Linked DNA regions of Rhinolophus ferrumequinum. The protein of the gene in region 1 purifies or fractionates together with the protein of each later gene. This does not show direct contact. Links are inferred from orthologs where the notes say so. Each region holds a gene or a part of one and is shown on either strand. Other genes may lie near its edges.

The links. Proteins that work in one complex are often made in the same cells at the same time.
Region 2: the proteins of CHUK (region 1) and EIF2AK2 purify together in Homo sapiens (affinity purification with western blotting; 3 studies listed by BioGRID). This does not show direct contact. The link is inferred for Rhinolophus ferrumequinum from reciprocal best matches to the Homo sapiens genes CHUK and EIF2AK2.

What each region holds. Positions count from the first base shown.
Region 1 is NC_046299.1:24,311,468-24,318,856, forward strand, and holds the start of CHUK (inhibitor of nuclear factor kappa-B kinase subunit alpha), read left to right. Parts: upstream 1-4,281; 5' UTR 4,282-4,351; coding exon 4,352-4,456; intron 4,457-7,389. Other genes in the region: CWF19L1 (CWF19-like protein 1), read left to right, coding at 1,399-1,543.
Region 2 is NC_046296.1:46,183,656-46,191,193, forward strand, and holds the start of EIF2AK2 (interferon-induced, double-stranded RNA-activated protein kinase), read left to right. Parts: upstream 1-4,534; 5' UTR 4,535-4,790; intron 4,791-7,538.

The DNA.
Region 1 (7,389 bases):
GTGTCCGTGATTTGCAGATGTTTTATTCCCCCACCTGTCCCAATTAGATCTGAGCTTTGAGTCAACCTTAAGCCCTTCTTGGACTAATTTGGAAAGCCTCCAAGAGATTGCCACCATTGGATTAAGTCCAGTAAATGTAGTTGTCTACGTTTTCAAAAAGATCATTGACAAATGAGAACAAGTATGTTAGGAGCTTCAAGCATTTGACATTATCTTTTTGTTGTTGCCTCAGCAACAGATGCAGATGTGGACGCTGATGATGTAGGCACATGATTGCAGATATACACAGGCACATAAGCCTACAAGAGAGATTCTCTGGATGATTTTATGCTCATGATAGTTGTATTTTCAACACTGTAGTTTTCAAAATGCTAACTTACAGTTACATAGCATTTTATAGTTAACAAAATACTTGAAAAGACTTTTTTTTCCCTGCTGCTGTACAAGAAAGGTGATTCTATCTTCATTTTACAGATGAAGTCAGCTCAAGGTTTGCCCAGGCAGATAGAACTTGAGCTCGGGGTCTCTGACTTTTAGGAGACTCATGTGATTGATTTTCAACTCTTCTATTTATTGTAGCTTTATTGTGGGAAATGAACCGTATAGATGTGCATAGAGTTACTTCTAATATATCAGCATAAGTAAAAATAAGTAAAAGTGTAAAGCAGTGGCAGTTAGAAGGTAGCCTGTGTGTAAGTTTGTATGTAGTTATACTGGAGTCCTAAGAGCCAAGACAAGTTTTGTTGGTATTGAGCCTGTGCTGTTGTGTCCACATACGCCTGAATCCGCTGAAAGGAGAGGCAGAAGGTTAGAGTGAGGTGTGATACTAGGTGCCCAACTCTGCACCATGCCCTTACCAAACTCATGGTCTAATTGGGATGACGAAACTGGAGTTTAAGGTAGGATGTAATCAGAGCCAGTCTGGTACTTTTATTGTGTTATTTCCATACCTCACAAAACCCTTAGTTCGCATTTCATAGGTGAGAAAATCAGGACTCAGAGATGAAATCTTCTGTTTAAGTCATAGACAGCCAGGGACAGAGCTAGGAATGGAATCGTCTCTGATATTTCTGACACCAGGGCCTGCCCTCTTCAGTGCCATGTTGCTTCTTTAAGTACCAATAAATGTAGTTCCAAGTTCAGAGAAGTAAATGGGATTTGAGGGGTTAAGAAAGAGGTAGGATCTGAGTTGGTCACTTAAAATGAGTATAATTTTAATAGCTAGAATGGCAGAGAAGGCACGCAGGGCAAGAGAAAATGGTATGAGTGAAGTCAGAGGAATTTGCATGCCTTGTTTGGGTGATGCTGAGGAGAGCTCTCTGGTGGAGAGGAAAAGAAGGTTGGGGGGGTGTTCAGGCTGATACTGTCTATTTTGATTTCTTTGTACTCTTTCTGCAGGGAGGTCCTGGCCAGTGAAGCCATCCTTAATATTCCTGACAAGTCTGACTGGAGGCAGTGTCAGATCAGCAAGGAAGAGGAAGAAACCTTGGCTCGCCGCTTCCGGAAAGACTTTGAGCCCTTTGACTTTACTCTGGATGACTAAGCAAAGGGAAAGGCACTTTATGAACTTCACAGGAAGTAGTAGCAGCCTGTTTTTTAAGAAACTACAGTCTCCCGTGGGGACTGTTTTCCTGCCTCTTTTTTTGTGCATTCCCATGGAACCTATTGGTAGCAAGAGGCCTAAAATTGAATATTTTTTGGAAAAAGTCACATTCTAGGAGGAAAATCCTATATTCAAGGCATGTCTGTCATCCAGCTCCAAATACAGCTTTTGTTTATCAACATTTTCCAAAACATTTAAACTATCAAATAAAATCCAAATACTTTCCCGTGTTTGGGAAGTGCCTGATGTTCATGTTACCTGTAACCACTGAAATAAAGTCGTGTGTGTGTGTGTAATAGGAGGAGCCGGGGCTTTAGGCCCAGCTGTTATCACAGGATGTCACAGGTGGCTTCTCCCTGAGCAACCCAGGATGGAGAAGGAACCCAAGGCCTTTGCCATTTTTCTCATAACATTCATTTGTTGATATGAAAGAGCTCATTCATTTCTTCAGCAAATATTTAACTCCTATGTGCCAGGCATTTTTCTAGGCTCCAGGAGTATAGCCATGTCCCAACATGGTCTCTGTTGTCCCAGAATTTACAGTCTAATTGGGAAGAGAAAGGGCAGATTTAAGATAAGAAGATGAGTTCTGCTTTAGATATGCTGAGTTTTAGATATGTTGAGTTCTTGCATAGTTATAAACTTATGGAGATCTGGATTGGAGATCGGGCTTTGGGGATCATCAGGGTATAGGCCATAGGTGAAATTACGAGAATGAATGAAAAGATAGGTTGAATACCAACCTAAGCTGAAGATGACTACCTTGGAAATAGAGTGATCCGACAAGTATATGGAGAAAGAGCAAAGAGAGGGAGACATCACAGGAGAATGTTGTATCTTGGAAGTCAAAAGAAAAATCATTGCTCCTATATATTGGGCACTAATGGCCCAGACACTATTTCACTTAATCCTCACAAAATATCTATGAGATAGGTATTATTACCTCCATTTTATACATGAAAAAAACTGAGACTGGCAAACTTGAAGATTCTGGAGCCTGAGGTCAACCGGCCCAGGATTTTAAAAAAGAGCTATGCAGTGTCCCTGTGAATGGGGATGTTAAAGAATGAGCTTTAGGAAACAACCAGGTTCCTGCAAAGATGGCCACTTCAGGGTCAGCTCAGTCATCAGTATCCTCAGGTCCTCAGCATCTCTTCCCTGGCTCTTGCAAATGACAATAAGGAGATTTTGGCCCCACCTGTGGAGATCAAACACACTTCAGTGCTCATTATGCTGTACACCTAGCAAATGAGGGCTTCAGAGTATTAGGATAATCTGCATCACAATCATTTGTGCAGTTTGCCTGGGTCTAAAGGATGTGTTCTTGGAAGTACCATTTGCACATCACCTCCAAGTCTGATACTCCAGCTCCGTGGCTACCAAGCATGTATGGGAAACCAGAATTTCCAACACCACACGTTACTGATGACCTATATACCATGACTCGCTTCGTATCATGCAGTGTTCAACAATCTGAGTGCACTATTCAAGGATTTTGGTGACAATAGACACATTGGCTTTGCCAAAAGCCTATTCAATGCTTTCAAAGCAACCAGTGACATTACCATGGTGCACATGCTGTACCCACCTTTAGATGTTTCAAATGCTACATCTGTGGTACAACCATCTGTGATAGATACAACCATCTATCACAAAGTGTTAATTGGAATTCCATGTACTGAGTTCATAGGCAGGGGTGTGCAAATGATCAAGTGCACACCGTCTCAAAGGAGGCTCAAATGACCATCCTTAACGCCAACTGACACATTTCTTGAGAATTTGATTCCAAGCTGATTGTTATACTTGGAGTAACAATGGAGTGATTAATGAAATCCCCAAGTCCTATGAAGCTATGACCAACTCAGCAAAAACAGGAAGCTGGTTCCCCTATGCTAAAGCAATCAGCCACTCGGAAACTCTTCTTGTTGCCCCAACAGCATTCCCCAAGCTTGCCTCTGCAGCCTTGCATCACGCATGAAAAACTCCCCACAATGAGGAACTACCTCACTGGCAAACCCGTATCTGGAGCACTGTTTGACAGGGACAAGATCCCGAAGTCAGGAACAGGAACGTTCTTTACTCGGGAACGGCATCACATCCTTGAGCCGTTTGGAATTACAGGGGAGATCCTGGGACAGGTATATAGGAAATAAAGCAAAAGAACAGCTGATCCTGACTCTATGGAACATGATTAATCATTTAAGGAAGAAAAGATGAACTATTAAGTCTATGGAGGCCTTGTTAGCGCGGGATTCTTTCTAGTTCTTCGGCTTCCGCCATATTTAAATCGGTGGTGGCCTTCGCCAGTGCCAGCTCAGCGGATGGTGAGGTTGGAGAATAGATGGCAGAAGTCTGAAGAAAGGTGAAGTCTAAATAGGGGTGGAGATGATGTGAAGTTGAAAAAAAGACCAATACAAGACAGACTGTTTTGGAAAGTGATTTGAAGGGAATGTAGGGCCTGGAGAGATCTTACATTTTTGAAGACTGGGGAAAAAACAAGTGGGTTCTCTCAGCTAGGAAAATGCCCAGGGTACTTAAGAGAGCGTATTGAAAGCGCCCTACTCCCCCCACCCTTTCCCCTGCTGAGGGGCTTGCGGCACGTTGGGAAAATTTGGGGCGGAGCTTTCCGTGTGGCAGTTACCGGAAGTGATGCATACATCTCGCGAGAAGAAAGACGCGCGAGCCTCGGCGGCCCGGAACCGGCCTTGGAACGGTGGCTGAACCTGAGGCCGCTTGCCCTCCCGCCCCATGGAGCGGCCCCCGGGGCTGCGGCCGGGCGCGGGCGGGCCCTGGGAGATGCGGGAGCGGCTGGGCACCGGCGGCTTCGGGAACGTCTGCCTGTACCAACATCGGGTGAGGCGGGGCGCGCGAGGGAGCGGCGGTGGCTGTTTGTCAGAGCGTCTGTGGAACACAGTGGCTGTCAGTATGTGAGATTGTTGGTGTTACCTCGGGCAGTACTGGGGGCCAATGAGCGTGTGTGCGTGTGAGAAAGAAAGAGATTGAGATTGTGCTTGTGGTTACTGAGTCAGGTTGTATCTGGGTCAGCGTGTGTGCGTTAGCGTTATTAGGAAGAACTTTTGGTATGAGTGTCAAGATGTGACAAGGTGTTTACCGAATGTGACGGTGCTTATGTGTCTCTGAATGTAAAGAGTGTAACGGTGTGTAACGTAAGGCAAATGCACATGAGAGTGTGTATTGTGAGCACAAGTGGGTGAGAAAATGGGGCTAAAGAGTGGGGGGGGGCTGCCTGTTGGAATGTGTGTGTACTTGGGTGTGCTTGGAAGCCATGTGTTATCGGTGGGACTGGAGTAGACAAGGTTTCAGGGTGGAAGCGTTTGGAAGCATCGAGTAGGCTTTGGAATTGGGGATGCATTCCAGATAGGAAGCTGTATGAGGATCAGATGGTGAAAATGATCGGGGCCTCGCAAGGGAAGGAGATAGATTAGGGGTGAGGTGCTCTAGTCGTTGGCAGACAGCTAACATCCAAGTCGGGAATTGGCGTTGATTTAATTGAAAATGTTTAACCATTGTAGCAGCAGTTAATAATCATGTTTGAGCTATGCATCTTTTGATAACCAATAAAAGATCTGAACCCTTTCCCCAGAAATATGCACAGAGGCACGTCCGTGCAGCCTTATGCATTGCCATTTGAGGAAGCTCATGTTCTCCTGAAAGACATTCACAGACCTTTTAGATATATAGACCCTGGACTAGTAATCCCTGCAGTATAGCCTTTGTTTTGTTATCTGTGAAATGGTTACAATAATGTCTACTCACCGTGAGTCTGAGAGTTAAAGAAGATAGTAATATGTGTAAAGCTAAGTACAGTACCTGGCCCATGGAAAGCCCTCAAACGTTTGCTCTCGTTGTTGCTGTGTTGTTGCTGTTATTATCATCTTTATCATCATTAATTGACCTGCAAAAAAGGAAATGCCAAGATAAAAGTGTTCTTTTTTTGTAAAAGATAAATCTGAGTAGGAAAACATATGGGACAAGCTGACCAGTTAAGCTATTACTGCCGTAAAATGCTTGCAATTGGCTTGTGAATGGAGAAGTGAATTCAAGAAGAGAAATCATGATTTGCTGTTTTAAGGAATGTGGGTGTGGATAGAGAGCCCATAGTATAGGATGGGACTCCATCTGGGAGGAATAGACATGTTTGTGTGGCAGTTACAATGACGAATATCACTGATAGAACCGAGGAAATTTTATGAAGCAGGTTTCTGGATAGAGCATAGGAGGAAATCTTGGTGAGAGGGAGAATGGAAGGCGAAGGACTAAGGCATTAAGTACTTTGACAGCTGGACAAGTAGTAATTTAATAATTCTCGCCATCAGAGAGGACATAAGGCACTCAAAAGGAAAAGAGAGGGAGCGATGTACTTCTATTAATAGCAGATGTTGCCTTTGGCCTTTGTATTTGAAGCCTGACCATCAGCCTGGTCATAAGAAAAATGTACCACTTCCCTGAAAATAAGACCTAGCCGGACAATCAGCTCTAATGCGTCTTTTGGAGCAAAAATTAATATAAGACCCGGTATTATGTTATGTTATACCCAGTCTTACAGTAAAATAAGACCGGGTCTTGCATTACTTTTTGTTCCAAAAGACGCATTAGAGCTGATTGTCCGGCTAGGTCTTATTTTCAGGGAAACGTGGTATGCATGCTGGCATGGTTTTGTGACTGCTTTTCTTGGTCCCTGGATGGGGACCAATGAATACATGATTTTTTAAAAAAAAATTGTGGTTAAGTATATATAACATAAAATTTACCATTTTAACCATTTTTAAGTATACAGTTCAGTGGCATTAAGTACATTCACATTGTTGTGCAGCCATCACCACCATTCATTTCCAGAACTTTTTTATCTACTGAAACTGTATACCCATTAAATAAGAACTTCCCATTTCCTCCTCCCGCGGGCCCCTGGCAACCAGCATTCTACTATCTGTTTCTGTGAATTTATCATTTTTTCAATGAAAGAGATTTGAGTCCTCTAGAATCTTAGAAATCTCTCAGAAGCTTTCCAGGTGTCCAGAGTGGACTTCCCCAAAACTGGGACATTTGACAACTTGGCCTGTAGTGAAAGAAAGAAATACTTTGTCGTAAGACTTGGAAACAGCATCACTACTCTTCCAAGCCTGACATAGGGTTTGCATTTACAGCTTTCAAGATCCTAGTGTTTTGGTGGAAGCCACATCCCAATATTTCATCTACACCTCTTAAATCACAATGAGGAAGAGAAAAGGATGTGAGAGTTTATTTAGCTGATTACTGTTCTGGGTGCTGGTGCTGATGGTGCCCAAATCAACATGAACAGTATTTTCTGCCTTCAAGGAGATTTCAAGTCTAGTGGGAGACACAGAATCACTTTTAAGTACATAAACACTTTTAAGTACAATGTGATAACCTATATAATGAAGGTATTTGTAAAGTAATATGGAAGAATGGCAAAATAACTAAAAACTCTTCTTAGGGAATAGGGTAGCACTTCTGAAAGTGTGTTTGGAAAAACTAATCCCGTGAAACTCTTTGAAAAAATTATACTATGGTCAAATACATTGGGTAAATGCTGCATCTATGATATTCCTTCATTTGGAGAGTCATAGCCCACGTTAGTATGTTAAAAGCTCTGAGAGGTCCTATAGAGAAGAAACTAACTTAGTTGCTTTCCAATTTTTTTTATTGTAACATATACATAACATTTATCATTTTAACCATTTTTAAGTGTACAGTTCTGTGGCATTAAGTGCCTTTATACTGTTCTGCAACCATCACCACTATCC
Region 2 (7,538 bases), on another chromosome or scaffold:
TGAGGAGACATAGAAGAGAATAAGAATGGAAACTAAATAAAAATTAATATCTAGTACAGTCCACTCCTTCTACCAATAATCTTTCAAGCAAACAAAACTACATTCCCACCTAATACAGTCATTCCCTTATTCAAATGAAAGCATGCATACCCTATCCCTTAAATCTTTATACCCATTGCTATGCGATGTTCTTTCCTCTTCTGTTTTAGTCACGATCCCACCTTAAGATACTCTAATGTAAAGACTAAGTTATAAAATTAACCACCACCAGCAAACCTCATATAAAAGGAAAGAGGAAAGCCATTAAAAGAAGTTCATGAATACATACAAAAACAAAACAAGGAAAAAAACATGCACCGCTTCTATGGTGCTTCATTCTGAAACTGGTCATGAGACCATCATTGGTGTTTATAATTTCCTCTTCATTGGTTCCCTTTGCCCTTAGAAGTCTCCCCAACTACATAGTAGGGCGATATAAATCAACAATCCTGAAAGAGCTGAGACCTTAACAGTCCTGCCTGTGTTGGACAGCTTTAGACTTCCATCAACATTTATCATTGAACATGTAATTACCAGAAAGAACCTCAAAGAAACCTCTGGGTTGAAGACATACTCATCCTTGACTCCACTGCGTGGCTGTATCACTATTTGCCCGGCGTAATTCACATCAATCAGCCCAGTTGCTAACTTCCTTATTTTTGTGATGACTTGATGGCATGATGAACCTGTAAAATCCAGATGCACTCTCAAGTTCCTGCGCAAGGAACTATGTGTCTCCTAGTGGAGAACAGCCCAATGTCATAGGAGCAAGAAAGCACTTACTTTGCAAGTGTGTGATTAGGTTTAATTGTGGGAGACAAGCTTTTCACTTCTACCGTTTCCTGGTCTCCTGTATTCTGGCCGTGAAAGAAACAGCAACTTGGTTTAGAGCATATATTGTACTTGAAGGACTGTACACTCAGCTTGCTGTGTTGTCACCTACCTGGGGCTGTAACTGAGTCTTCAGTACTCCATCCCACAGTCTTCTAAGGCCAGCTGCTTTTTGGTGGTGATGATCATAATAAAACCATTGATCCCATGGTAGTCAGTGTCTGCCTTCTTTTTCTGCAAAATGGGTTCCTTAGTGAGGTATAACATGATGGTGAACAAGATATTCAGGATGTCCAACAATGATGGTGTTGGCAGAAGCACTGCAAGGAAGGAAAAGCAAATCCATAGCTGGAATACATGTTTACTCCACAGAGGGCAAATCCCTGCCCACTCCATGATGGAAAGGTCGCCACGTAACCAGTCTGCCACAAAGTGACTGGCTGGTCTTCCTTGGAGTATGAGAATCCACACTGGGGGCTCAGGGTTGGTCTGTGTTGTTGACACGCTAGGTACTCAGCAGCCTGGATGGGAATTCCCTGTTGATGAACTCACATGTATCATCCAATTCCTGCTGCCATTGCCTCTTCATTCATTTTGAAAAAACACTGGGGTAGCTGGGAAAGCTGACATCCATAGAAGTCGTCTTGCCCACTTGCTTCTCAATAGCCTCCTCAGAAGTGCGTGCCTGTGGAGGTGAACATTCACAAGAGAACCCAATATGCTCCTAACTCTGTGTCTGTTCTAAGTGGTTCACCCACATCATTTCCCCCAGACCTCCTTATCATCGACCCTCTGATCTTGTTCCTTCCAAATGTCTGAATATCCAGCTAAATGGTTAGCCATTGGTTCTGTCCAAGCCACTGGCTTTCTCTTTTTCCAAGTGACAACTAAAGGTACTGCTCAAAATTCTGCCCACTGGGAAGATTTCCTTTCTCCCACTATCCTTTAGGACCACCTCCCAGCGGGGCTATTGTAATACCTCAATCCACTTCTGATTAATGGCAGTGTGTTGTGCTTCATTCGAATATTTCTTTCTCAATCATCTGGCCACAGGAAACTCCCCATGAGTTCAGAGATTGGGTTGATAGAGCAGGAGTGATAGAGCCTTAGATAGCTGCTCGTGTAACATGCCTGTGGACTAGCATCTTTTTTGAGTCCTAAGAATGTCGGGACCAGTTTATCACCACTGAAGATCTTTGGTTATTGAAACTTTCTGATTACTGCTCTGACCCTGATGCCCTTTCTTTGGGGTTTAAGTGTTGCCACATGGCCTTTGCTACTCTGGGAGCCATAGTACACATTGAAATCAGGGAGCATCTCCCATCAACATTCCCCACCAGCAGTGGTCACCATTCATTACAGAATTTTCAAGGATGCTGATGCTCCCCCTCTCCAATATATTTCTCAATGCCTGGTGAAAGAGGATCCTTTGGATTTTCTTGGGGACCATGTTTAGGGAGTGAATGAATAGGTTGCATATGATTAATCTATTCCAATGTTCCTCATTCCCTACATACTTTTTTTTTATTCATTTCAGGTGTACAAAACAATATAATACTTAGACATTTATATCCCTCACAAAGTGATAACCCCCCTCCTTTTGATTTCTTCCTCTGTATTACTTGACATCACAGTTTTACTTAATGTGTGCCAACCCTGAGGCCAGATTGTAATAAACCAACTGAACAAACCATTAGAGCCATTCCCCGCTGCTGGAGCCAGCACATTGAGTGCATAATCTAAATTATATTTATTTTGCCTTGTTACCTTTAGAACCATTTCCATGCATATTTCCTGGGTTTCTGCTGGGGAAAAAATTAGTAAAATCTTGCAACTCTTTTATTGTGTAAACTACCTCCTCTGGATCAGATCTTGTCGGTATCCATTGGTGGCATCCTAGCATCTGATTCTAGTTCTAGGAGTGAAGGAATGAGGTAGGATGGGACATTTGGAGGTGACTACTTCAGGATCTTCAAGCTACGTAGGCTGTACCATCCTTAGCAAACAAAGGTGGAAGGACTGTGGACACTCAACAGAATTTGGGAGGGCAGTGGTACTTGGACTCATTCAAATCCATCCAAGTTCCCAGGGCCTCATTCTTTCCCAATCAATGCCCTTAATGTTCACATAAAAGACTTGGTGAGGCTACATCTTAAACTTATATTTTAAAATTCTGCTACCTGCGGCATCAGGCTCTGCACCTGATCTTTACAACATCTGCCCTGAAGCTCCATGTAAGAGGTTCTTCTGGGGCAATCATAAAAGTTTGTGTCCTCTGACGGTACTTGAGCTTATCATTTTCTTTTCTAGGCTCTCTTGGGCAGTTCCCGGGCTTCAAAATGTCAGGAAACGTGTCATTGCTATTGCCATTGCTTCTGCCACAGCCACCCCACTGCCTGAGGCTGGCAAATGGATTCCTGCAAACACCCACCACTGCTGGAGCTTTTTGCTGCCTGGAAATGCCACAGAAAGATGGCTCTGCCTCCCATCTACTCGTATATTCCAAACACCCCACAAGTGCTTCACATTTGGGAGACTTAAATCATGTCCAAGACCTAAGCTACAAGGAAAACGTAGTTTTTAGCCATTGATACCCTGCAAAATGAGGGGATGTAGAAGAGAAGTGGAAAAGGACTCCTGGAGCCAATGCGCAGTATTTAATGTATACTTGAGGTCCAACTTAGGACCACCTCTCTCTTTTACTCTAGCTAAGGTGTTAAGGGTACAGACTCCTGCTTCTAATTTTAGCTCCCTCTGCTTACTAGCTGTGTTATTTAACTTCTCTGTGCCTCAGACCTAAGTTTCATCATCTGTGAAATGGGCACAGCAATGGCACCTACCTTGCAGTGTTGTTGTAAAGTAAGTCCTCAGCACTCTTTAGTCACCGTGTCAATGAATCAGTATTACTCTGGGAGTGTGTCATAGTCCATTAGGTGAGTAGGATTTCTTATAAATCGAGGACTATTGATGAGGGCTTTGGTAGTAAACTCCATGAGGTCCCTTAAGGAGCAGCAGGTGGCTCACCTAACTGCTGGGCCGGTGCTTGGTAGGTACAGCGGCTGGCAAGTATCTGTTGAATGAGCGGTTGGATGGGTGCAAACAGACAGAAGGAAGATTATTCCCCTGGCCAATTCATCCCCAGCCTTGTATGTGACCTGGCAGCAGTGTGGAAAGGAGACCGAGTGCTTTGGTGTTTAGGGGCCTGACCTTGAACTGAATGCTAGCTTTGCCACTTTCCAGCGGCAAGACCCTGGGCGAGTTAATTTACTCAGTTTCTTCTATTGTAAGATAAGGCTGATACTATCCACCCTGACCCCCACCCCCAAATGTTTGCGTGTTAGAGGAAATGGGATGTTTGATCCTGGAGCCTAGTTCAGCGAGTGCCTGGCGCGCCACGGGCGCTCGGAGACTTCGGTGTCCTCCCCACCTCCTACGGATCCTTACCTGTACCCGGTCCTGACAGCCCCAGAAGCCCGGGTGGGGATACAAGGGTCTGGACGCGCGCCCAGGAGCAGGAGCGGCACGTGCGTGCCTGCCGCGCGGACTCCCAATGGAAACGTCAGTCTCCAGATCCCGGATCCAGTAAGGACTAAAACGGGAGGGGGCCGGGCGGCCGCAGCGGAAGGCGGAGTCCGCAGAGAAAACGAAACTGAGACCGAGGTGTCCAGATCGGACAGTGCCTCGGGAGACAGTGACGGCGCGAAGTAAACTGGGCGGCGGGGCGCCGGGCAGCGCGGGAGGCGGCGAGGGGCGGAGAGCACAGGGGTGCAGAGGCGCGCGCGCAGCCCGCGTCCTCCGTCGGCTGCGAGGCCCCTGACTCCTGGCTCAGGCCCCCTGGCGAGGTGCGGGAACCTTTTCGGACCCGGGCAGCGTGCTGGGAACTGAAATCCATTTTCTTCCGGTGAACAGTTTTTATCACAGTAAGTAACGAATAGCCCAGGACGGCGTTGGGGGGCGAGGGAATCGAGTGGAAAATAGATCGACCCTATGACTTGACAGAGAGATGGGAAATATGCAGCCCTGAATTACCTATAGATTGGCTCTGTAATCCCTGGCCCGAAATCTCTTGCCTAGACAGTTACACTTGTTTCCTAATTGCCTGGCTTCCCCCTCCCCAACCCCTTTCCTGCCCCCCTCCCTTCCCATTTCGACCCCTTACACCCTCTTCCCCCTCCCCGCCCCCCCCCCCATACTTCTCAACACCGTCTCTGGGCTCACAGGCAAGTCCCCTTATTCCCTCCATTCGGACCGCACTGCTGTTCTTGACACGCAGCCAAGCATACACCCCTGCCTCTGGGTCTTTGCACTGCCAGTTTCTTCTTCCTGGAAAGCTCTTTCTTCCCTCAGATACCTGCATAGGCCCATCCCTCAGTGTCCCCTGCATTTCTTCAGTGTCACTCTGTCAAAGCAGCTTTCCCTGAACAACCTGCTTATAAGAGAAACCCCACCCGCCCCTCCCTGTCACCCTTATTTTACTTCAGTTTTCAATATATCGCTCTGATTTTTTTTTATGGCTTTGTCCGTGTTCCTCCACTGGTAAGTTCACCGGAGCAGGGTTTTGTTCACTGGTATAACCCCAGCACTCATTAAATAGTTGTTTAATGAATGGTAATTCATAAATTCTCTTTTGAATTCCAGAATAATGAGACTTCCTAATACCTGTGATTTCTTTAGTACTAAAAATGCCTTGCCAGTTAGAAGCTAAAATATACACTCTCTGCTGTCATTTAGGAACTTAGAATCTTGGGCAGACTGTGCTCTTTTTCTTCAGTTTGCTTATTTGAACCTGAAGATCCACAACACGTGATCTCTGGTTTATTCGTTTAATTCATCAGATACTGCTTGAATGCATGTTGCATGCCAACCATTGTGCAGGCCCTGGAGGGGGCTAGGCCGGCAGACGCTCACGTCTGCCCTAAGGGGAATGCCAAAGTATCTTCTGGGCAAGAGTAAAATGGACACATAACCGTTTGTTAGAGATTATTGTGGTGATTTCTTTTAGGGAAATGGTAACTTAGTATTAAGACAACTATGTATTAAAAGTAGTTAAAAAGAAACCTATTTCTTTTTCCCCAAAACTTGTAAGTACTTTTCAAACATGCCAGTTCAGTACCTTATTAGTTTACACGTATATTTCACTTAAAGTCAAACTGGCTTGTCATTCTGCTGATCAGCAGTTAAGAGGTAACAGTGCTGAGAATGTAAAAGCATTTGATAGGACTTCTGGTTAAGTAATTGCTAAGGACTCTTCCATAACTGCTGTTCTGAGATCTGTGACCCCCCCTCCAATTTGATGTATGGTCTCATGGTTGTGACTAAACTAAATGAGACTTTGGTTTCTGAAAATAATGGTACATCTACAGACCCTTATCTGAAACCCTTGGGCCAGGTGTGTTCTGGTCTTCAGAGATTTTGGATTTTAGAAAGGCAATACAGCATACACCCTGTCTATTACGTAATGCTCTCAGCAGGATTTGGGGGTGACACTCTAGGTATAATGAAACATATTTCTGCAGTGAAATGTATAAATAGGCACCAAAGTATGATACAGACACTCAATTGATCATGCCAGTTTAGGTTTAGATAAGGGGCTACAAATCTACCAAAAACAAAACAAATGAAAACAAAGAAAACCTTAGTTTTTCAGTGCTTTTTGGATTTTGGAATTGCAGACCAGGAGCACCATTTAGTGGGGCCCACCAGTGTGCCAGATGCTTTTCGTCTGATTTATTCCTCACAACAACCTGTGAATCAGGTGTTTTTTAGGTCATGAATCAAAGACTCAGAGAGATGTCTAGCCCAGATCTCTGTGGCTCTAACGCCTAACTCTCTTCACCGCCCTCAGCACTGACGAGAAGGTATTGCCTTTGCTCAGATCAGGGCACTTCTAGCACCTCGCTTCCAGCCACCACCATTGCTCACCACCGTTGTTCACCCAAGCCACTGCCACAGCCTCTGCTTGGTCTCCCAACTTCTACTCATGCTCTGCTTCCCCTTTCCATACCCAGCATTCTCCGTACTCTCCGTAGCATCGGAGGGGTCATTTGAAACATCAATCCAGTCACATCACCCCTCTTCTTAAAATCCTCCAATAGCTTCCTAGTGGAGTAACATCCATACCCTATAAGGGCTGTGTGCTGTGGCACCTGCCCACCTCTCTGACTCATTTCCTACCCTTAACCCCTCATTCACGGTGCAGCAGTCCCCTTGGCCTTATTGTTATCCCTCCAAAGTCTGCACTGGCTCCTGCTCCAGGGTTTCCTCTGCCTGAGCTACTCCTCCCCCATATATTGGTATGATGGGCTTTCTCATCATTCAGGCTTGATTTAAATATTCCCTCCTAAGGAGGCTATTCCCTCACCACTGTATCTAAAACCACCTCCATCATATTTCTGCCCCCACCTGCCAACTCACTCTCTAAGATTCCATATCTCTGTTTAATTTCATCATAGCACTTCTCGGTCATCTGGCCATCATAATACCCACTCCTGTTATTTATTTCTGCACATGTTCTGTCTTGTTTATATCTGTATACTCAGTATCAGAACAGTCCCTGACATTTGATAAGCACTTACTGAATGAATGAAGAAAAGATGCACAGAAAACAACAGGCGAAGAAAAGGGAGAAGATGAGAAGGTTTAAAGGGGAGTACTTAATTTTAATTAAT